Notamacropus eugenii: one gene and its partners. The protein of the gene in region 2 purifies or fractionates together with the protein of the main gene of each other region. This does not show direct contact. Links are inferred from orthologs where the notes say so. Each region holds a gene or a part of one and is shown on either strand. Other genes may lie near its edges.

What was found.
Region 1: the proteins of NDUFA13 (region 2) and NDUFAF4 purify together in Homo sapiens (co-immunoprecipitation; 4 studies listed by BioGRID and IntAct, counting the BioPlex papers as one, with this or other methods). This does not show direct contact. The link is inferred for Notamacropus eugenii from reciprocal best matches to the Homo sapiens genes NDUFA13 and NDUFAF4.
Region 3: the proteins of NDUFA13 (region 2) and NDUFAF1 purify together in Homo sapiens (co-immunoprecipitation; 3 studies listed by BioGRID and IntAct, counting the BioPlex papers as one, with this or other methods). This does not show direct contact. The link is inferred for Notamacropus eugenii from reciprocal best matches to the Homo sapiens genes NDUFA13 and NDUFAF1.

The regions. Positions count from the first base shown.
Region 1 is NC_092873.1:173,177,585-173,185,507, reverse strand, and holds the start of NDUFAF4 (NADH dehydrogenase [ubiquinone] 1 alpha subcomplex assembly factor 4), read left to right. Parts: upstream 1-4,848; 5' UTR 4,849-4,989; coding exon 4,990-5,125; intron 5,126-7,189; coding exon 7,190-7,293; intron 7,294-7,923. UniProt on the Homo sapiens protein: Involved in the assembly of mitochondrial NADH:ubiquinone oxidoreductase complex (complex I). May be involved in cell proliferation and survival of hormone-dependent tumor cells. May be a regulator of breast tumor cell invasion.
Region 2 is NC_092875.1:55,807,896-55,815,181, forward strand, and holds the start of NDUFA13 (NADH dehydrogenase [ubiquinone] 1 alpha subcomplex subunit 13), read left to right. Parts: upstream 1-4,280; 5' UTR 4,281-4,398; coding exon 4,399-4,492; intron 4,493-7,286. Other genes in the region: TSSK6 (testis-specific serine/threonine-protein kinase 6), read right to left, coding at 2,729-3,547. UniProt on the Homo sapiens protein: Accessory subunit of the mitochondrial membrane respiratory chain NADH dehydrogenase (Complex I), that is believed not to be involved in catalysis. Complex I functions in the transfer of electrons from NADH to the respiratory chain.
Region 3 is NC_092878.1:27,496,288-27,503,946, reverse strand, and holds the start of NDUFAF1 (complex I intermediate-associated protein 30, mitochondrial), read left to right. Parts: upstream 1-4,584; 5' UTR 4,585-4,954; intron 4,955-6,293; 5' UTR 6,294-6,369; coding exon 6,370-6,954; intron 6,955-7,659. UniProt on the Homo sapiens protein: As part of the MCIA complex, involved in the assembly of the mitochondrial complex I.

The DNA.
Region 1 (7,923 bases), on a different chromosome or scaffold from region 2:
TTACAAACACACTGCTCACAGTGTATAGCAAGAGGCAATAAAACCAACATCTGTCAATATTCCACAAGAGATAAAAATCATAGAAGTCCAAAGTTTAATGATGTTCTAGAGTGAACATTCCCTAATGGCATTTACAGCGCCTAGGGAAAGTTCAATTTTAACAGGGAGAGTGGCTGCTCTGGCAACACAAAAACCCTCCACTGGGTATGGGCAACCCTGGGGTAGGAGCTCTTAACCAGGGGTCCATGAATTTCAGGGAAGTCCATAACCTGAAGAGGAAAAAAAATCAGTCTTAATTTCACTAATCTTTGGTTTCCTCTGTAATCCTATGTGCTTTGTTTTATGCATTTAAAAATATATTTCTGAGAGAGGGTCCACGGACTTCACTAGACTGCCAAAGATACTGATGGCACAGAAAAAGTTAAGAATTCTTGCCTATGGGGTCCACATTATGATAGACATTGGGGAGGGCAGTTAGCTAGTATAATCGGTTCAACGTAGCCCCTTGAACTCTGTTGTAATCGCTTAACCCAGTCAAACAATAAGCATTTAATAAAACAGTATAGAATAACTGTGATAAGTGCTGAGGATTCAGAAACAAAAACCACAATGCCCGCTTCTATCAGTCTCTTTATCTGGTAACAACTTCCTGACCATACAAAGCTACCCACAGCTCAAACTGGACGTTTACTTGAGGATACTGGGTGTCCTGATCTGACCATTGGTAATAGCTTTACTTATAATGTGGTGCCAGATGAGAAAGTTTCCTCTTCTTGAGGCTAACCTGCCAGTTTGGGATTCAACCTCCTCTATATACACAAAGGATTATTTGGGATTATGTACATGTGCTTCTTCTCAACAAATAACAACACTTTTCATCACCCCAACTCACTTCCTCTCCTCTTCTCCTCTTTGGATCACAACTTTTACCCTGGGTTGCATAGGAGTTGTTGATTACATCTAATTTAAAGTGACTGAAAGCCCACCTCAATAGGGTGTCCTTTTCCCAAGGGCCTATTTCTCACTTGTTTGGGGCTGGCATATCCAACATTGTGTCAAGAACATAGAAAATTGATAAGTTTCCATCTGATGAGTTCCTCAAAACTCATCAGTAATATCAGAAATATAATATATATACATATATATTTGTTAGGAAGTGACAAAGGATGACTTGTATGAAAGACATCAGTGAAACCACACAGGAAAAGAAAAAAGGAATAAGCCATAATGAGAAATATTTGGACAGCTTTAGTACTGCCCTAGGATCCAAGAAGCATTGAAAGAATCAATGTAATTGTGTAGATCCTCTTTGGAGGATTTAAGGGAGGACATGGCTAAGAATCACGAAGGTAAAGGTAAAGATGGGCTATGATGTTTACAGGTAGAAATGACTACATCTCTGAGATCATATGATCTCAGGTAACCATTTATCAAGCACTTAACTAGACAAAGACTATCTTGAGCGCAAGGGATGCAAAAAACAAAAAATAAAACCGCACCAGTTATTAAAAACAATTATTGTTAGTGGGAACTAATGCCAACAATTTATGAATTTTGGCAGGAAGTCATAGAAATGTGTTTTAATGGCTCATCTCTTTGTCTGAGGATGGGGTCAGCTAGTTAGATGTTCCTGTTGGAGTACCTCTACTTTTAGTTTTAACTTTTATATTCTACCTATATGCAAAAAATGAGAGGAAAGTATAAAATATTTCTGTGATGATTCATTGGAAGCCTCCTGAGATTCCTGCAGATATTGCCTTTCAACTCAATTTCTATACTTCTACCCCTATCCTCCCCCCACCCCCACTTCCAACTGTGACAGAATCAAAATAAAACAAAACAGAAACCACTGGAGAAGAATTGCTACTAGTGTCCTAAACAGAGAAGGTCATGATAGGGGAAATGCATTTATTAAATGCATACTATTTGATGAGGCCACACACTCAAAGGGGACTTAGGTCAACTAAGATTTGTGTTTTATTCACAAGTCTTGATTGGAAGTCAGAATGATAGAAGAAACCTTGGACCAGTCTGCCACCTTCAGGATATTTTCCCAAATAACCCAAACAGAATGATTCTGGACCCCATAGTTAATGAATACTAATGTGGAAAAATGGCAACATAATGGATTATGGAAATTCATATTTTGGTAGCACTTTTGTTGTTATTAGGAATTCACAATTATTTAACAATACAACTAAACATTTTTAATCCAGAGTCCCAAAGGGGTGAGGGAAAGCAAATTAAAGCTATTAGGCAGGAAAAAATACAAAACAAAAATAAACACCACCATTTTCCTCTAGACATAGCTGATTATTCCAGTGGAAAAGTCATCTGCAACTTTTAAAAATATTGCTTGTTTCTTAACATGTCCCTGTTTTTCTCACATTGATTTTTTTTCTACTTCGTAAGCTTACAAATCTCTTAGCAGTTCTTTTATTCAAATAGAAGTATTGTAATGAGACATGAAGTAATTCATCAAAAAAGCATTAAGTGCCTACTGTGTGAATATCATCACTGTGTTAGGTTAGAAAAGTTTTAAAAAATAAAGAGGCTTCTGCCTTCAAGGAACTTAGTCTAGTGGGGAATGAGACACTAATGAGTCATGACACATAGTATTACATAATATGTATATTAGAGAGACAAAACCAAGTGATAGCAAAGTAACATAAATTAGTAAACATTTCCCCAATCTATATCTACATCCTTATCAAATGAGATAATCAAATCATCCTTATCAAATTAGATTTGTAAAAAGCACTTAGCACAGTGCCTGTCACATAACTTTTTATAAGTACCTATTCCTTTCCTTTTTTTCCTTACTTCATTTTCAGTAAGAGAACAGGAAATGCTGAGAGAAGACAGAGACAGAGATACAGAAAGACAGGAAGACAGAGAGAGAGAGAGAGAGAGAGAGAGAGAGAGGAAAGTATAAAAACAATTAAAGAGTTTGGGGTTTAAATCTCTGAACCTGGCACTGCAAATGAGCAAAAACAAAGTAGAAAAAAATAAAACCTGAAGGCCTGGAAAAGAACCTAGGAAGGAAATAGAATTAAGACTAAGAAATTAAGCGAAGAAAGGGTTCAGAATGATAGTCATCCAGATCTATGTCTGGAAAGGGAACTAGGAAAGGAGTGAACTAGAGAAATAAAAGAGTGAAGAAGTAGGGCATCAAATAGAAAGCAATTTTTAAAATTTTATTCTTTAATAAAAAGTTAATTTTCTCAACCCCTATGGGAAATGATGATAACATTTGTATAGCATTTACTATGTGCCAGGCACTGTGCTAAGTGCCTTACAACAATTACCTTATTTGATCTTTACAATAACTCCCCACCAGGTGCTGTTATTATGCCCATTTTACAGATGAGGAAACCAAGGGAAACAGGAATTAAGTGACTTGCCCAAGGTCAGATACCTAGTGTCTGAGGCTGGATTTGGACTCACAAAGATAAATCTACTTGACTCCAGGTCCAGCATTCCATTTCTTGCTCTCACCTGAAAAGAAAAAGAAAAAGCTTTGGTAAAAATTTATATGTGTGTCAGTTTTTTAAGAGGTCAGTTTGGGAATGTGTTTCGCTTGACCATATAAATGTATAAAGTATATACATGTGTATACATAGTTACCCGATGTATAAACCCATGTCCTGATATATATACACACATATGGATACATGTATGTACACATGACTACTGCTTATATTTGCATATGTATAATCCTTGCATATGTATACTGGATAACATGTATATTATATATATACTAGGTATATATGCATAAAGACTATAGATTATATATTATGTATATGTATGCTACATATGCTGTATATGTATATATAGATACTGAATATGCATAATATATGTATATAGTTATGTATTGTCAAGCAAAACAAATTCCCAAATCAATCTCAAAAATGTCTATTAGAATAGAAAACTATGTGTCAATCAGTCAGTCAACAAGCCTTTATTAAATACTATGTCAGATTCTGTCATAGGAGCTGGGATTACAAAGAAAAAGATTTCAAGGGTTCCAGCTTTGGAAGAACTTACAGTGTGCTGGGGGGGAGGGTTGGATTTGGAGGAGTCGGGGACCTTGCCTGGGTTCACACCTCTGCTTTGCCACTCATTCACTACCCTCTGACCTCCAGAAAGTCACCGTCTTTCTATGGGCTTTGGAGGGGCTTGTACTGAAGGACACTTCTTAACACTTTTTAATAGCTGTGTCAAGGAAAGAAGGAAGATATAAAACCTTCTTCTGCACCTCAATCAAGAGTCATTTCTTTCTTTTTCAATTTAATTTATGGAATAAAACAGCCATTTCCATAACATACAGTAAAGATCGTACAGGACACTGCATATCTACTATGCACAGCTTTCAAATATGGAACAAGGTGATCATGTAAGTTCCTTTTGTTCCTCCCCGCCCTAGAGATGGCTACCATTAGACACAAATGGGTATACACATATGTAAAATTATTCTGCACATACTTCTCTTTATCACTTCTTTCTCTGGATGCAGTCTTTCTTCATATGTTCTTTATACTTAATTTGAGTGTTTATAATGGACAAAATAACTTATTCGCTCAAAGTATTCTTAAAACAATATTGCTATATACAATAGTTAACATAAATCATTATTTATGTTACAACAACATAAAAATTAACATAATTGTTAACACAAAACAGTTAACTGTATGCAGCATTCTCTGGGTTCTGATCATTTCTAGGGCATTTCTAAGATGCTCACAACCTCTGGGCGTGGAAAGGAAGGAGATGTCACAGTGGGAAGCAAGGAAGGAAGCAAGCTGCTTCCGAGGCGCCAGGGGGCGCTGTCGGAAGTGCCGCTTTCTCATTTCCGGGTCGCGTAGCCCGGCTTGTTCAAGGCCCGCGCATGCGTACTCCGCAGTGCCCGGCTGGTTAGAAAGGTGACTGCCGGGAGCGCTCCACGTGCTGGCGGGTTCCGAAGCTGGGGCATCATGGTTTGAGAGCGAGATGGGGGCCAGGGTGACCCGCGCTTTCCGGAACTTCAACCTGGAAAACCGGGCCGAGAGGGAGATCAGCAAGGAGAAGCCGTCTGCTGCCCCCATGCACCCCAGAACCAGGACCCTGATCCTGGAGGAAGTCCGCCGTGAGTAGTCCCGGAGGGCAGCCGTCCCAGGGGTGGGGGTGGGGAGACGCCTGTCTGGTCGCGGAGCACAGCTGCAGTGTCGGTGGCGTTGGATTCAGTTCTGTTCAGTCCAGTAGGTGTTCAGCAAGCGCCTACTGTGTGCTCCCCATCGCGCCAAACGCTGCGAATACCCACCTGCCTCCAGGGAGTTTACCATCCCATGGGGGAGGCGGCGTGGAAGTAAATATGTACCAAGAGGCCGTATGCAGGATAAATAGGGAATAATCGAAAGAGGAAAAGCCCCGGGTTTGGGGAAGGCTTCCTGTGGATTGGGGTGGCAGTCGTGGTAGGTCCTAGATTTGGGGCCAGAAGGGCTCTTAGGGAGTGCTGGGCTCCCCACCCCCACGCCTTTTCTTTTTGAGAGGTAGAAACCGAGGCCTGGGGAGGCTGAAGTAACCTGCCCAAGGTCACCCAGGTGGTAAAGCGTCCGAGGGATGGATGTGAACCCCGACCCTGGAGCCGGTGCCCTTAAAACTGCCCCCGCTGACCCGGTAACCGTGCCCTTGTTTTGGTTGGTTTTGTCTTTTTCAAGTTTGGATACCTGTTTGTTCCTTTGTAAACCGGCGTGTTTTTGTGTGCCTTAGAAAGGCGTTCTCAGAAGCGGGCCGTAGGAGGATTAAGAGAAGCCCTTGACACTAAAAGTTAAGTGTAGAAAGGTACCCCCCAGCCCCACCTCCACCCCGGGTCTGGTCAGCGACCTTGAGCTTATTTTATTTCCCGCAGGGGGAAAGGCCGGATTCTTCTGTGAACTGCAGAAATCTTAGAGGAGGGAAGTTTGAAACACCAGATAAAAGTTGCGGCCCAGCTTGCTTAGGAAGGTGTAGCCATAATGACATTGAAACTCCGTCCCTTACCCGCCCCTTTAATGTTACAAATCCTCCGCTGGAAAAATTAGTTGATCTTTGGACCCTGTGCGTTTGTCCAATCGCAGAGATTCGGAGTGGTGCATGCTAGGAAATGTAGTTCCCAGTCCTCTAGCTTGGAGTTTAACAGCGATGCTTTTAATTCCAGTTTTATAGACTAATAGCTAGGTCTAAGGAACTGCAGAGGTCATCTTATGCAGGCCCTTTGTTTTACAGATGGGGAAACTGAGACCCAGAGACTTGATCTCGGATTCCAGGCCAGCACTTTTGTAATTATTTAGGTTTCAGTCAACCAGCAAGCATTATTAAGAGCTCCATGTACTAGGCACTGTGCTTAGTGCTGAGTATACAAAGACAGAAAGTTTCTTTGACACTTAGATTTTTATATCATAAGTATTTAGAACCTTTAAATGATTCAAATGTGGATGATATACAACTATGTGAGAAGCAAATCTTCGCATAAGTTAACCAGTTATGTTATATTCCATTGTGTTCTATATTATCATATATCATTATATGCTAATGATTATATGTTAATGATATGTAATGATCATTATATGATAATATGTAATATTATTTGGTACATTATTTCTATGGAATTTGACACAAGTACTGAACTCCGAGTCTGAAACACTATTTTGAGTTTCAGATTTTCTTAAGAATTTTTGTTTTTCTCATTCAGTGGGGTTTTTGTGTTTGTTTGTTGTGGGAGAGGGTGTTGGTAGAGAGTGTTAATAATGATGGCTGTATGTGTGTTCATCATTCGTTGCCAGAAGAAGATCGTGCCATCAGAGAAATAATGACATGACTTGCACTTGACTTTGTTTGGAGGGAGGGAGGACTGCTCAGGTCACCAGCCTCACTTCTCCTCCAGAGCCATCTGAATGCAGTGACCAGATATTCATCAGGATGACTGGAGATGACCCAGGATGAGGCGACTGGGGTTAAGTGACTTGCCCAAGGTCACACAGCTAGTGAGTGTCAAGTGTCTGAGGTGGGATTTGAACTCAGGTCCTCCTAACTCCTGCACTGGTACTCTATCCACTGCAACACCTAGCTGCCCTTCAATGATGACTGTATAGTGTCTGAGTAGATACATTGCCTGGGTTTGTTTTGGTTTTGTTTGTTTGTAATTGTCTCTCCTTTCTTCCTTTCCCTTTAGGCCATCCAGAATTAGAGGAAATAGTTAAAAGAAAAGATGATAAGCTGCTCACGTTGTTAAAAGAAGTGTATGTTGAGTCCAAAGATCCTGTTCCACATGTGCGGGTAACTGTCATTTTTTATTTATTGGCACTTTATATAACCTTTGAAGGCTCCAGATTGTTATATTTAGTTCCAGTCTCTGCCTGTTCCAAATGCACACCTATGGAAAATGTGGTAACAAGTAACTGCTATAACAAAGGACTTTACATCTGTGTGTATGCCTCTGAGTATAGCAGCAGCTCTTTGTTCCACAGAACCCTCAAGAAAGAGTTCTAGGGAAGAAAAATAGCAGTTCGCTTCATCATGTTCAGAAATTTAAAAAAAATTTATAAAAACATTGGTTAGATATAATTCTCATAATTCAGCTGTTTCAGATTACCTTGTCCTTGTGGGATAATTAGTAGAGACTCCTTGATGGAAGAGAAAGAACAATTTTCTCTTCTGCTTTTCCTATCTTTTAGTTCCTTACTTAGTCCAGCAAAAGGGAAAGGTGATGCTTTTATCCCTGAAGGTTTTTTTTTCCCAGCATTGGAACAGTCAGGTGCTCAAAATTATTTGGAGGGTCACATGTATTGAGAGTGATATGCACATACATAAACGTATACACATGTTCTTGATGTTTGTAAGCATTCATATATGTATGAACCTATGTGGTATACATGTATAACCTTTTTTCTTCTATAGTAATATTCT
Region 2 (7,286 bases):
TTTTACTATGGAAACTTCTGTGGCCTTGTTTTCCCGATCTGTAAAATGGAGCTCATGACAACTGCATTACCTACCAGAGCTAGGGTTGCAAAGAAGGGAACAGAATATGTACTGGCGTTGTTATTGCACATTATGCCTGGCCCCCTAATTCAAAGACAAACTCCACTTGCTGGGCCTGCTCTTTTCTCTATACACATTCTCTCATCAGTTCCTAGGTTTCGACTGTCAGTTCTATGCAGATGACTCCCAGGTCTACACATCCAACCCTCATGGCTCTCCTGAACTCCAGTTTGCCTCACAACCTGTTAGTTATCTCTCCTTGTATGCCCCATACTCAACACATGCAAGACCAGCATCTTTCCCCCTAAACCTCCTCCTCCTCCTTCCTCACTTCTGTTTTTGCTCAGATCACCACCATTCTTCTAAACCTTTAGGGGTGAAAGCTAGGAGTCAAACTTGACTCACCCTTTCTCATCTCTCTGCATCTTATCAGTTGCCAAGTCTTGGCAATTTCATATCCTCAAGAAGTCAAGAAGCCTAAGTGCTCCCTCTGGCATGAAAAATCCTTCGTAATCTGGTGTCAGATGGATCTATGGATCACAGATTTCATCTCCTGCATCCTTGCACTTGGAGAGTTCTTTCTCCTTACTTCTCTGCCTCTTGCCCCTCCAGAAGACTTTCCAGGTTCAACTTTACTGCTCTCTCCTATGGGATGACTTTCCTAGTTCTTACAAACTGTTTGTACTCATCATTGTGTCATTATTTTGCATATATTCTGCCTTTATTTATCAGTTGCCTAGTGGGGAAACCCTAGCCTTTGTGGTCTAGGTCTAGCCCTCTGTAGGGATGGGCTATAAGGCTTTGCTAAGCTTGGCTGGAGGTTTCAAACATGGGAAGTAAAGCTCTGTAGGTTGAGGGCTTTTAGACTAAAGCATGCCCACAAAATTTGAACTCTCAGAGGGCAAGGGCTGTCACTTCTGGTAATCCCAACACCTAGAACCCTGCCAAGTACACACATATTTAGCGATTGAGTCACTGGGGACAGGGAGCAGATCTCATACCATTTTGTTTTCCTAATGCCTTGTGTTAAGACGCAGTAGGTGTCCCATAAATATCTAGTGGTGTTTGGGCAAAAGGGAATTGCTGGTTTCCGTGGGAACCCCTCACTTTTTTCCTGCTCTTTTCTAGATAGTGCAGAAGATTTCTAGGGCTCTCCCCTAGATCTAGGAGACCCTGAGCTAGGTTGGCAGTCCTGGAAGTGACCCAAAGAGATACAGTACAAAGGCTTTTTCGTGCACCCTTTGCTTATCATAGGCATTAGAGCTCCGAGGGAGGTTTAGAGATGATCTAGTCCAACCCTGACATTTCTTATTTAAGGAAACAGGCCCTGGGTGATCTCCCTAAACCTCATGCCGCCTCAAAGCCCTGAGCCTGGCCTTCCAGCCCAGCAAGTTGGTAAACGCTAGTTTAAGCAGGGTCTAGCCTGCCATATGGATGGGCTACCTAAGGCCTTGCTAAGCTTGGTGGCTCACCTCAAGTGTGGGTAGTAAACAGGTAAAGGTGGTTACCTGGCTTAGGGCTTTTAAGCCAAGTTCAACCAGGGCTATTAGCTTCTTCCCCTGCTGTCTCTGCCTCCAGAACTAGGGCAAACATCTTTTTTTCCAGTGCCCTGCCCTGCTGTTAGACATCCAGTTCTTAAGATGCTGGCCATCTCACAGCTGGCTTCCTGAGCTCCGGGTCTCCCGGGAGGAGGGGCAGGAAGGGCCCTGGGGAACAGAACCCCAGCTGAGGTCACTCCGCCCCACCCTTCCCTTTCATTCCCCTCCCCCCACCGGCTAGTAAGTTTCCATTCCTTTTTTACCCCCAGTCTGCTCCCCGATCCCAGCAGGACTTGTAAAGAGGGCACAGTGATGACGGCGGGGAGTCTAAAAAGTTTTAAGTGTACGAAAGGGGCCTACGTTGGCTGTCCAAGGGCTAAATCCTTCAAATTACTCGCTCCACCACCCCGCCTATACACCCTTTCCTCCCAGGCTAGAGGAGAGGATGGAGTTGGGCCGACAGGCAGGCAGACAAGGAAGGGTGTGGGGCGGCAAAAGTCGCTTCTGCCCCTGCCCTGCCTGCGCCTCCCCCCTACACCCCCTTTCCCCCCTTAGCCCCCCTCCTCCTAGTCGTCCAGCTACCAGAATCCGGGGTTGCTAGCAAGAGAGCGAGTTTATTGTCGGGTCCAGCGGGGTGGAGGGAGGGCCAGCGCAGGTCTCGGCCAACGGTGGGACGCCTCGAGGTCTCCGGACTGCGCTCCACCTTCGAGTAGGGGCTCTGCGGGCTTCGGCATCTCCCTCCTGCCCGGCGGAGTGTTGGCACTTTCATTCGCTCCGGGCTTTCTGCGCGGCTGGACCCTCTTTTTTTCTCGCTCTGTCCCTAGCATCTTGGTCATGCCCCTTTTCTATACCCACCCCTCGCCCGCCCCCCCATCCCCCCCCACCGCCGGGTGCCGTGGGGGGGAGGGGCGGTCTCCCGTCTCACACCCGTAGACTGGGGGGGCGGGGGGGGGCGGGAGAGAAAGGAGGAAAGGAATGGAGGGGATGAGGTCAGGAGAGCTTCCCGCTCCTCTCCCCTGGGCGCCGGGCGCCCTCGTGCCTCTCCCCTGCGCGAGATCGAGGGGGAGGGTCAGTGAGCCCGGGGAGAAGGGAGGAGAAGGAGGAGATCGGGGGCCCCACGAGGGTGGGCGCTAGCAAGCCTCGCCGCGCAGCCAGCTGTTGCGGGCCACCTGCCCGGCGGAGGGTCGCGCGGACGGGCTGAACTGCAGCAGCTCGGCGATGAGCGCCTTGCAGCGCTCGGCCAGCTCCAGGCCGTCGGGGTAGAGGACGCCGCGCTTCTGGCGGCGGGGCAGGCCCGCGATGTCCGAGTCGTCGAAGGGCATGCAGCCGGTGACCATGACGTAGAGTACGACGCCCAGGCTCCACACGTCGTACTTCTTGGGGTCGTAGGGAATGCCCAGGAGCACCTCGGGAGACGCGTAGGCGGCCGAGCCGCAGTAGGTGGTGCTGAGGTCCGGGTAGCCGTGCGCCTGGCGTCCGAAGCCGAAGTCGGTGAGCTTGATGCGCCGCTCGTCCGGGCTCAGCAGCACGTTCTCGCATTTGAGGTCGCGGTGCACCAGGTGGTGGTCATGCAGGTAGCGCACGGCGCCCACGATCTGGCCGAAAAGCTCGCGCGCCTGGGCGCACGGGATGTGCCCGCTGCGCTGCACCACCTGCAGCAGGTCGGTGCCGGCGGCCTCCATGACGATGTACAGTTTTCCGTTGCACACTTCGATGAACTCGAAGACGTGCACGATGTGCGGGTGGCGGATGCCGCGCAGGATGGACAGCTCCCGGGGCAGAAACTTGTTGACGAAGTCCGGGGGGGCTCGCCGTCGGTCCACCACCTTGATGGCCACCGTGCCCTTGTACTTCTTGGAGGTGGCCACTTTGACCTTGGAGTAGCTCCCCTCCCCGATGGTGCGGCCCAGCTTGTATCCCAGCTCATTCAAGAGTTTGTCTCCAGACATGATGGACGGGGCGAGAGCGTCGGGAGGGTTTTCCGAATTTCGATTTGGGGCTTAACCCATGGCGCTTGGCACCCACAGACCTTGACCCCCATGTGCCCACTCCTGCCCCGGGGTTCCCCGCCGCCCTTTATCGCCCAGGTAACAATTTCCGCCTTGTGAAGTGACTGAGGGCGTCACGGGCCGCAGGGAGGCTGCCGCATGTGTCCTGGCTCTGCACGCCGGGGCCCGTTTTGTGACGTGATGGAGATGGAGATGCTGCCGTGGTAAGGGATGGCAAGACGCCCAGACCCGTAGCCTGGTTGGACGTGAGGCTGGGTCCTCCGAGGGATGTTGGGGACCGGCATCCCCAGGCAGGGTAACGCTGAGGCGGCACCCCCCCTTGGCGGCCATGGGCCAGGAGGTGCTGGGCCTTCAGAGCTGGCTAGCCCAGCCCCTTGTTTTATTAAGGAGTAAACTATGGGGAGCTCAAACTGGCCGGGGGGGGGTCAAGGTCAGCGGTGGGGCCGGTTTGGGACTGGATCCCTGCTGCGCTAACTCCTAGGGGCACCCCTTAAAACCCTAACGCCGTTAACGGAGCTGCCTCCAGAAGTGCTTTGCAAACTTTAAAAAGCTGCTTCAACGTCAGACGGTACTACCATTACTGGGCGGGTGCGCCAGTGGGTGCCGGAGGGGGCGTTCCTTGGCTCCACCCTCCCCTCTCCGACGTGGAGCGCCCGCCCCTTTAAGACCTTCTCTGCAGTAGCTTCCGCCACTCTCTAGATGGCGGAGCGGGCTCGCGCCCCTTGACGTCATTTCCGGCTTCTTCCGTCCGGCGCGGGTCCTCGCCGTCGGAAGTGCCTTGGGCTGGCAAGATGGCGGCGTCCAAGGTGAAGCAGGACATGCCCCCGCCAGGGGGCTACGGTCCCATCGATTACAAGCGGAACCTGCCCCGTCGGGGAATCTCGGGTCAGTGGTTCGTGGAGGAGGCGGGGCCCCGCTCTTACCCTTAGCGGCTTAGCTGGAGGGCCCCAAGCGTGGGGAGGGGGCAGGGCACCCCCGGCGCCCCGAGGTTGCCCGGACCGGAGCCCCTCGTTCCTCCCCATTCTTCAGAAGCCCCAGAGAGCTTAGAACACGGTGTCAGAGTCAGGAGCGCCCCTAGAACCCAGAGGCCGAGGAGTCCCAGGTTTCCCAGCGCGGGGTGATGGGCTTGGGGCTAGAGACGGAGCTTCTCAGACGGGGACAGCTGGTCAGCGTCTTCTCTTGCCTAGAGTCTTGCCAGCAGAAATGAGAAAGAGATCAGCGACCGTTCTGGGGTCCGAGCCCAGACTTTAAACCTGCAGAGGTCATTTGCTTAAACACCTGGTGAGGCTGAGAGAGTACGCTATATATACTCTTCTCCTGTCTCTCCATTTTATTTTTTATACGTTGTAGGGCACTGCCACTCGTGTAAGACTGTCACTGTAAGGGATTACCTGATCTCTGCAATCCTGCAGTGGATTTCTCCTTTCACTGTATCTACCAGTCGTTTGGAGATAACTGCACGTGTATCTGCCTAGCTAACTAGCTACTACTATTGGAAATATAGCTAGTAGTAGTGCAGTATAGGAAGATGAGTACCAGACATGGGAGGGGGGTGCCTGCAGGCAGGGGACTTGCAATCAGAAAGTGAATCTGAGTGCAGATCTTACTTCAGACACCTGGCTGTGTGAACCCTAAGCAAGCACCTTAACCTCTCGTTCTAATTTCCTCATCTGTGGCTGTGAGAATAAAATGAGACTATGTGGAAAGTGGTTTGAAAACCTTAAAGCGCTGTATAATAGCTATGGTTGTTCATAATGGCAGAAAAGAACAGTAATTCATTAGAAAAAACATTAGATAGACATCTGACCCAAGCACTGGGAAATGGAGATCCTAACCTAAGGAGGTAAATTTGACTTTGCATGCAGAGGACTCCCAGATATCTACCTAGACCTGCTTTCTATTACCAGCTTTATTAGACGGTTCAAGCTGGAAGACCTGTAAGATTCTCCCAATCAGCATGTCTGAAACAAAATTCATTCCTTCCCTAGTTACCCATGGTTTCCACCTTGGAGTCCTCATTTGATTTTTCCTTGCCCCATTATTTGCCGAGTCTTTATTCTCTCCCATATTTCTCTGAGTGTTCTTTTGCTTTGTTGTTGGGTTGTTTCAGTCACGTCCGGCTCTTTGTGACCCCATTTGGCATTTTCTTGGCAAAGAGACTGGGGATGGTTTGCCATCTCCTTCTCTGGCTCATTTTACAGATGAGGAACTGAGATGAACAGTGGCTTGCCCAGAGTCACACAGCTAGTAAGTGTGTGAGTCTTCCTGATTCCTCATCAGTGCTTTGTGTACTCTGGCACCACCTAGCAGCCCTGTTCCTCTTATTTCCAGTCGTAGCCACCATTCTCGTTCATGCCCTCCTCACCTCAATCTTTGGGCCCCTTGTCTTTTCATTGCTTATTCCATACCAACCTCCTGACCTGTATTCCTCTCATCATTTACCTCCATTTCTCTTACATGCTGCTGGTTGAAGCTAGAGGAATCATGCAAGTGCACTGAATGGGGGGACTACATATGTGTTACCTAACCTCAGCTGAGTCCTCACTGTAGTAAGGCAATCCTTTTTATTTCTTACTAATTGATTTCCTCTCACCATCCTCATTGGAGCTATAGCAGATAGCTCAGGCCTCCCAGACCTTCCTCTCCTCCTCTCTAAGATGACAACTTTACTTCTTTACTTAGAAAATTGAGGCCATTTACTTGAGTTTCCTCCTTCCCTTCTCTTCTTAAAGCCCCTTCACATCATCCCCTATTCTCTTTTCCTTTTCTCTAATCTCTGATAATGAGATGGCTCCTTTCCCCAAGTCTTAACCTCTACCTGTGCCCTTGTTCCCATCTTTGCCCTCCAGCTAATTGCCTTCTCATTTGTCAGCCTCCTCTGTTTGGTCTTCACCCTTTTTCTTAGGTCTCCTCCATCTTTAGAAATCCTCCACTAGACTCTACCACACCAGTTAGCTATGATCCTGTATTTCTCTTCCTCTTCTCAGTTAAAGTTCTTAGGCCATCTAAACCAGATACCTCTATTTCCTCTGCTGCTCCTGTCCTTCTTGACTCCAAACATCTCTCTGAAGTGGTCTAATTGCCAAATCTGGTGTTGTGATCTTTAGGCCAATTTGACTGGACCATCAAGTGTGTTTAATGTTTAAGAAGTGTAAGGTAGATTCTGACTGAAAAGTTTTAAATGTTTGATGGAAAAGTTTATGTTCAATCCTAGAGGTAATAGAGAGCCACTGGGGGGATGGGAAGAAGAGGGAGAGGGAGAAAGGGAGAAAGAGACAGAGTGGAGAGAGAAAGAGAGATTGATTTTGTGTGAGAGAGAGTGTGTGTGTGTGTGTGTGTGTGTGTGTGTGTGTGTGTGTGTGTGTATGTGTGTGTGTTGTGTTAGGACAGTTGTCTGTCCTGGTCATATCTGAACTTGAGGAAAATCATTTTGGCAGCTGTGTGGAGGAGGGATTGGAATGCAGAGAGACTTGGGAAGGAGACCACTTAGGAGGTTGTTATTGCAGTAATAAGTGAGAGATGATGGAAGACTTGAACCATCATGGTAGCTATATGAGGAGAGAGAGAGAGAGAGAGAGAGAGAGACGAACTCAGAGAGTTCTTATGGAGAAAGAAATGACAAGGTTTGGCAGATGATTGGCCACATGGGATGAGAGTGGGGGTTCAGGGATGGTGCTGA
Region 3 (7,659 bases), on a different chromosome or scaffold from region 2:
CATAGTTAAGACTATTAACTGTGTATTTCCTTTCATTCCATTTTCTTCTGCTTCCTTCTCTTTTTCTCTTTCCCTCCTCAAAAGTCAATTTTGCTTCTAACCACTGTCTCCCTTAATCTGTCCTTCCTTTTATCATCTCTCCCCTTCCCCCACTCCTCTCTTATCACTTTCTCCTTCCATTCCCTATTGGGTAAGTTACATTTTTATATACTACTGAGTGGATATATATATGTATGTATAGATGTATATGTATACAAATGTATATATGTATGTGTGTGTGTGTGTGTGTGCATGTGTGTGTATGTATATGTATATGTATATGTTCTTCCCTCTTTTAACCAGTTCTGATGAGAGGTTCAAGCATTGCCTACCTCCCTCTCATTTTCCCTTCCCTTGTAAAAGCTCTTCCTTGAGCTTCTCTTTTTGTGAGAAAATTTTCTCCATTCTACCTCTCCATTCACTCTTCTCCTACTGCATCCCTCTTTTTCACCCACCCCTTCAGTTTTTGTAAGCTCATTCCCATGATCTTCCCAGCTTACGCCCATATGCTCTGTCTATGTAAATTCCTTTTAACCTCCCTAATAATGATAAAAATCTTAGGAGTAGTTCAGGTTTTTGAGGAAGTGGGGGTAGAGATGTCACTGAATTTTCAAGGACTATTGATGGGTGTCATCTCCACAAGGGTTGCTTCCTGGACTACGTCTGGATTGGAAGAAGAGAGAGTGGTTTGGGGAGTGTTGCTATTGGCGGGGATTTTGGGCAAAAGGGTCCTGGATTATACCCACCCAGGTCTGAGGGCAAGTGGTAGTTAAGGCAAAAATTATAATGACAGGAGGAGATACAGTCACCTAAAATGTTTGTTTTGCTAAACATAGGCATTTAGTACATATTTGTTAAATCGAAATGGAGGAATCCATTAAATTGAAGGATGAAGCCATGATGACAAGTGGTAGGAACTGATGAAGCTGAGCTCTTCTCTACATATATATATCAAAATGGATCAGACAAAATCCTGATGGGAAAATCCTGAAAAAGTTTCAGTGAGTCATCTGTCCAGCCCAGCTTTGCATAGAGAGACAGAAAGAGGTTTACAAACACTGATGTGCTGAGCTTAAGTAGGACAGGAACATACTAGTACAGAGCACTCCAATATGCAAGAGAAAGCTATGTACTGGGGAAGGGGAGATGTCAGACTCATACTGAGGCACTGTGATGGGGAAACTTACCCACTAGCAGATTTGTAGCCCACTACTAGTTGAGTTATTGTAATGGCAAATAAAGTAGGATCTTTTGCTGTTTTTTCTTTAGTATAATCAAGTACCTCTGATTGATTAAAGAAGATTTTCCCCACCCATTAATGGACCTGGGAAGATTTGTAGGAAGGCCCACACCTTTTGTAATGAGGCACTGGTTCTCAAGGGTTGTGATACCCTCTGCCTCTGAGAAAGGTATAAGTACTCTGAGGTGAGGTTTTACCTTGGGGCTTACTGATTGGAAGTGTTTTGTTTGGCCAGAGGAGACTCTGGGCAGCTGCTAAGGAGCTCCCCCACTTTGAAAATCCAGATGTTGGTGCTTCTCTCTCTGGTAACTATTTTGTATGGTCAGACAGTCTATTGATCTCTGAAGTATGTATTGCTTATGCCAGGGCAGCTGGAAGCACTGTCTGTTGATCTGTATTTCTCTGTATTTTCTCTGAAATTTAGAGTGCTGACTTTTTCCCCTGAACTAAATGAATGATAAATATGTGCTTGGTTAAAATGATTGTTAACCCCTGAAAATTGCTTTTCTTTTAGAAATGTAGATCTAAGAACCTGTGATAGCAGGCTGTCCTGTGTATGTTGGGGAACTTGCTTTCACAGTCGTAAATCTAGCCTGAATATGGAAGCGGTGTTTGAGTAGTGGGCCAAGAAAGAAGAAAGTTTATTCAGTTCAGAAGTAAGCAGCAGCAACCGAGGTACAGCTTAAACCAGGGATGGGAAACCTGCAGCCTTGAGGCCACATTTGTCCTATAAAACAAAAGAGATTTGTGCTGTGTTCTGTGAAGTTTGGAGTCAAAGGGCTGCACTTAAGGATCTAAAGGGCCACATGTGGCCTCAAGGCTACAGGTTCCCCTCCCCTGGTTTAGCCTCCAGGAACAGGGTAGAGACCCAATTCCAGCATCTAGCCCCGCCTGCAGAAGAATAACCAGGGCAGAAATCCCAGATCAAAAGAGAAACCTACAATTCTGCCACTGTGAACCACCACAATTGTCCAGCTGACTGATAAGGGCTGAATCCAGCAGCAGGCTGCTCTTGCTTGGACCCAAACCCAAGTCAGGAACTTGCAGAGCTCAGATCAGAGCAGCAGCAATCAGACTCTGCCCTGGATGGGAACACCACAGGAGCACTGAAAGCTTTCAGCTCTCCAGCCTGTCCCTGAGATCCTAGAATATGACAACCCTCAATAACCTAAGAAAGCAGGAATAAGAACAGCTTGGACCTTCCCTCCAGGAAGTAGGATGTAAGAATGGACAAACAAAAAACAGAACCACATCATAATGAACTATTATGAGGGCAGAGAAGTGCAAGGCACAAATGCAGAAAAAGAGAATGAATTAAAAACATATACAAGTAAAGTTTCAGAGAAAAACATAGACTGGACAAAAAATCAACTAGAATTCCTGGAAGAGATGAAGAAAGAATTAAAAAATGTTTTTATAGATGAAATCAAAGCACTTGCCTTCCACATCCAGAGAAAGAACTATGGAATTGGATCGCAGAATGAAGCAGACTCTTCTCTCTTGTGTTATGTTTTGTTTTGTTTGAGTTTTTCTCATGGTTTCTCCCATTCATTTTAATTTTTTTATGCAACATGACTAAAGTGAAAATATGTTTAATAAGAATGTATGTGTAGAACCCATATAAGATTGCACGCCATTGTGGGGAAGGAGGGGGAGAAAATCTAAGACTTATAGAAATGATTGTAGAAAGCTGTAAACAAATTTTAAAAATTAGTGACACCTGGAAAATAAACAAATAAATAATATGCATATAAACTCTTTAAAAAATTAGCTTCCTACCTACTTCCTGACAGACCAGGGGATGGACTCTGAGTATAGAATGAGACTTTTTTTGGACATGGTCAATGCAGGAATTTGCTTTTTTTGATTCTACTGCTTGTAACATCTCACTTTTCTTGCTTTCTGAATGTGGATGGAGGTTAGCTGGAAAGGAGAGAATGTGGACCTACAAATAAAACATAATTGGATTAGAAAAATCAATCAAAAAGAAAAAATAGCATCCTCCTTTAAGAAAAGAGTAAATTTGTATCACAGTTAACATAACAAAAACATTCTTTTAAAGGCTAAAAAAAAGTGCTTGAGGAAAAAATTGGAAAAGAAATGACAGCCATGTAAGAAAGAATTGGAAAGAGAATGAACAGCATGGTACAACAGTTTCCAAACTTTACCCAATCAACAAACTCCTTGAAAATTAAAATAGACCAAATAGGAGCTAATAACTTCATGAGGTAACAAAAAATATATTTAAAAAATATAAAAATACTGAAAAAAATAGCAAAAACAACTGACCTGGAAATCGGATTGAGGAGAAAAAAATTAAGAATCTGAACACAATGACCAGAAAAAAACAAGCCTAGATGTCTTATGTCAAGAAAAGAAAACTGTCCAGATCTCTTAAGAATCCAGCAGTCACCTCTTGAAACCTCCCAATGACAACTTCCAGGGATCTCATAGTCAGAATCCAGAGTTTCCAAATCAAAGGAAAAAAAAATACTGTAAGCAGCCAGAATAGAAAGAAGTCAAATACCAGGGAGCTACAGTCAGAATCACACACTAGCAGCCGCAACTAAAAGGAGAGAAAAGAACTTGAAATATAATATTCCAGGAAGCAAAGAATTGGGGCTTATTGCCCCAAAACTGTAAAACTTAATATAATGCTAAAAGGCAAAAAAATGGGAGGATGAGGAGGGTTTTGCCTGATTAGACAATAAAATATTTTTTAAAATGGAAATGGAATTGGTGGGGGAGAGCCCACCAATTGGATTTTTTGACTCAAAAAGATAAAATTGAATAAAATAAAACAAACAAAATTTGTTAAAAGATTGAAATTGAGAGAATCCAGTTTGGAAAAGGAAAGCCAAAGAAAACCTGAAGCACGTGGAGGACCACAGGGGTGGTCTAGGCTTTAACGGTCATGGGAATACTGTCTTTAACGATAATTAGCACTTGAACGTTTGCCAAAGTCTTTACAACGATTACCTCATTGGATCGTCTCAATATGCTCCCGAAGGCTGGTGCTCCTGTCATCCCCATTTTACAGATGAGAACACTGAGGCAGATACAGGTTTGCCCTGACTGGCTCTGCCAGCAGGGGGTCTCCTTCTGAACTTGAACTCAGGTCAGTCTGGCTTCGTGTCCAACGCTGTATCTCCTGCGCCACCTAGCGGTTCTAAAGTCTAGAGGGACGTCCTACGTAATCTTTCTAGCAGGGCATTAAAAAAAACCCCCAGCTCTGACGTGATTGGGCGTCATCCATCTCCAATAGGCGGAACTCTTTATGCTTGGGAGTGCGTGCGGCGGCGGACGCTAATCTGCGTAGGACGCAGGCGCGGGCGGAAGTCACTCTTTGAAGCCGGGAGAGGATCGAGAGGGAAGGTGAGCTGCGCCCGCAAAGCGAAGGAGAGTCATGTGAGGTGTCTTAGGGGGAACGCGATAGGTGTCGGACCACGGACTTCCGGCCTCGGAAGGAGGCTGATTCGCGAGAGTTAGGGGTCAGCCCCGCACCCCAGACTGGGCGGGGGAAGGGGATGTCAGGGCTCCCGGTCCCTTACGAGTAGCTAAGCTGCGGCCTGCCGGTCTCCACTGCCCGGAAGTGGCCTTCATTCTTCGGAGGATCCTAGATTTGTGGCTGGAAGGGACGCAGAAGTCTTCCAGCCCTACGTCCTCGTTTTACGGGTGAGCACGCCGAGGCCCCTGGGGTTGCGTGTTCAAGGTCACAGAGGTGGTAACTAGGGAATGACGGGGGCAGAATTCGAACCCAGGACTTTTATTAATGGAGTTTCAGATCCCCTATTTCCGACTTGATGGGGCAGGGGAGGTCAGAGCTGGTAGTGTTCCTGCTTGCTGGGGTTGCGGAGGGTTGTGTTATCCCAGGATCTCAGGGACAGTGCCCCCGGGGCGCTCCCCTGGTCAGAGCTCTGGGCTCGGGTCCGAGCCGGGGCAGCCCGCTGTCAGCCAGCTGGACGGTTGTGGGGGTTCCCAGGGGCAGAAGTGTAGACCTCCCTTTGGTTTCTGCCCTGGTTATTCTTCTGCAGGCAGGGCCAGACGCCGGGCCACACTGCTGCTGGTGCTGGCTTCTTAGAAAATCCATTTATTTTTAATTTACAGCATTCAGTTCCACGAGCCTCTGAGTTCCAGAATTTCTCCCCCTCCCTTTCTGCCCCCTCTCCAAGAGGGCATGCAGTCTAATGTAGGTTCTACGCAGACATTCATATTAAACATGAATTCGTGTTGCTGAGAAGAGCCGAGTCTGTCCAAGGTGGTCATCACCCAGTGTGGCTGTAACTGGGTGCAGTGTTCTCTGGTTCTGCCCCCCTCGCTCAGCATCAGTTCCTACAGGTTTTCCAGAAGTCCTCCCGCTCATCATTTCTGATAGCATAGTAGTATTCCATTACATTCATATACCACATCTTGTTCAGTCTTTCCCCAATGGATGGGCATTCCCCTCAATTTCCACTGAATTTCTTTCTTGATACCACCCTGGGCCTCCCTCCTGGGAAACAGCGCTACTGTGCACAGATACCCTTCATATTCTGTCCTGGATCGTCGCCCTGGGATTGGACCGTGTGCAGCTAGACTGCCAGCTGGCACCTGTCCCCATCTCTGTGCCCCATTGTGGGTCTGGGACTTCCTTTGGTGCTGGTATATGGCCTCCTGCTAGTGTCGTGCCAACCTCTCTGTCTGCCTGTGCAGACCTGGGCCTGGCAAAGGACTTGCTATGACGTTTTCTGAACTTCTCCATCAGGATTTGGTTCGGTACATTTTATAGATGTGTTTGGAGAGACTAACAGGAACCCACTTGCATTGTTTCCTTCTACCTAACCATCTTGGCTTCACCCCCAATTTTCTTTATGTTTTATGGAACTTAGTAAGATGATTGTAAGATTTCCAGTTAACCTTAGGCTCAGGAAGGTGTGGGTTACTGTGTTGCATTTTACAGAGTCTGGTTACATTTGAAAGACAGGATAAGTTTGTTGCTAATTTGGTAACTTCTGTATTTTTTCTCTTGTTACAGGTAGAGCTGGACTTGTAGCTGAAAATCTTTTCCCTGGTAAATTCTGGAGAATTTTATGATTTGAATTGCTTCTACCATGGCTTTACTTCAGAAGCTGCTAAATGGCATTCATTTTCCTAAATTATGCGGGATGCAAGATACTGCACGATGCTTTTTGTTGGGGCCTGGATTTTCTGATTCTCCCTCCCGACTGTACAGTAGTATTAAAAAAACAGAGGCTGCTTCAGATAGATCTTCCCCTGAGGAAAAGACTGAAGGCATATTGGAAAAACAAACTAAGGGTGAGGTTGGTTTAGACCTAATTTCACCTAAGGAAAAGGTTGAAATTATTTTTGACAAAGCAATTAGGGCTGAGATAAAAGACCATTTTAAACTTTTAGCAAAGGAGGTGGTAGACCGTTGGATAGGACCTGAAGGTCGCCCTTTGCATCAAGTTTTACTGGAAAATACTAGGGTAATGTGGCAGTTTCGCAGTGATGAAGATTTGAATAAGTGGCTGGTGACATCGGACAGGACAATAGGAGGCAGAAGCAAAGCCTTCCTGAAAATGGCCAGCAATAACCAAAGCGCACTCTTCTATGGGATTCTCAATACTGAAATTCCTCATGATGGGGAGACTCAACGAAGTGGATACTGTGCACTGACATCCAGGATTCCAAGGGTAGGTGAGATAGTCAAGCTCTTTGGCTCTCTGAAGTCCCCTTCTCTGCAGTCTCCATGGTAGCACATTGCTTTTATTTATGGTGAGGGAAATACACAGAGTATCCTGAGCAGAGGACTCTAATTTATACTGAGGGACACATTTACACCACTGAAATTAAAGGGAAAAAAGCATTCTTAAAGCTTAAAAGCATTCTTAGAAAGTCCCAAATTACTAGTTGACTAGCCCTTATTTTCTAGCTTGGTCATTTGGGCCAGAGTAGATCATTCCAGTATCAGAAAAGCCCAGTGTATCCAGGGTGGTTTTAGAAAAGGTGGATGAAGATTTGAGTATGTGTTTTGTGGGCCCCTGACTCAGCTTTAAAGTAGGATCCCTCCACCCGCCCACCTCTGGCTCTTCTTAGAGGGAGTCCAGATCTTCAGGATCTTCTGAGGAATTATCAGACTGGGAATTGGTTAGGGCTGTCCTGCACCAGACTCCCACACTTGGTTTGGGTTGCACTTGGATAATTCTTAGCAGATCGGGAGACACACTGGCAGGAACTTACTTGCTTCAGTTTGTGTTGTATCATATCGCTACTCTGAAGTTTGAGCTTGGGGTCATCCTGTACTCTTCCTTCTTATTGACTTTCCTATTTCCAGATAGTTGCCAAGTCTTGTCTGGCTTACCTCTGCAACATCTCTTAGATCCTCTCCTTCTGTTCAC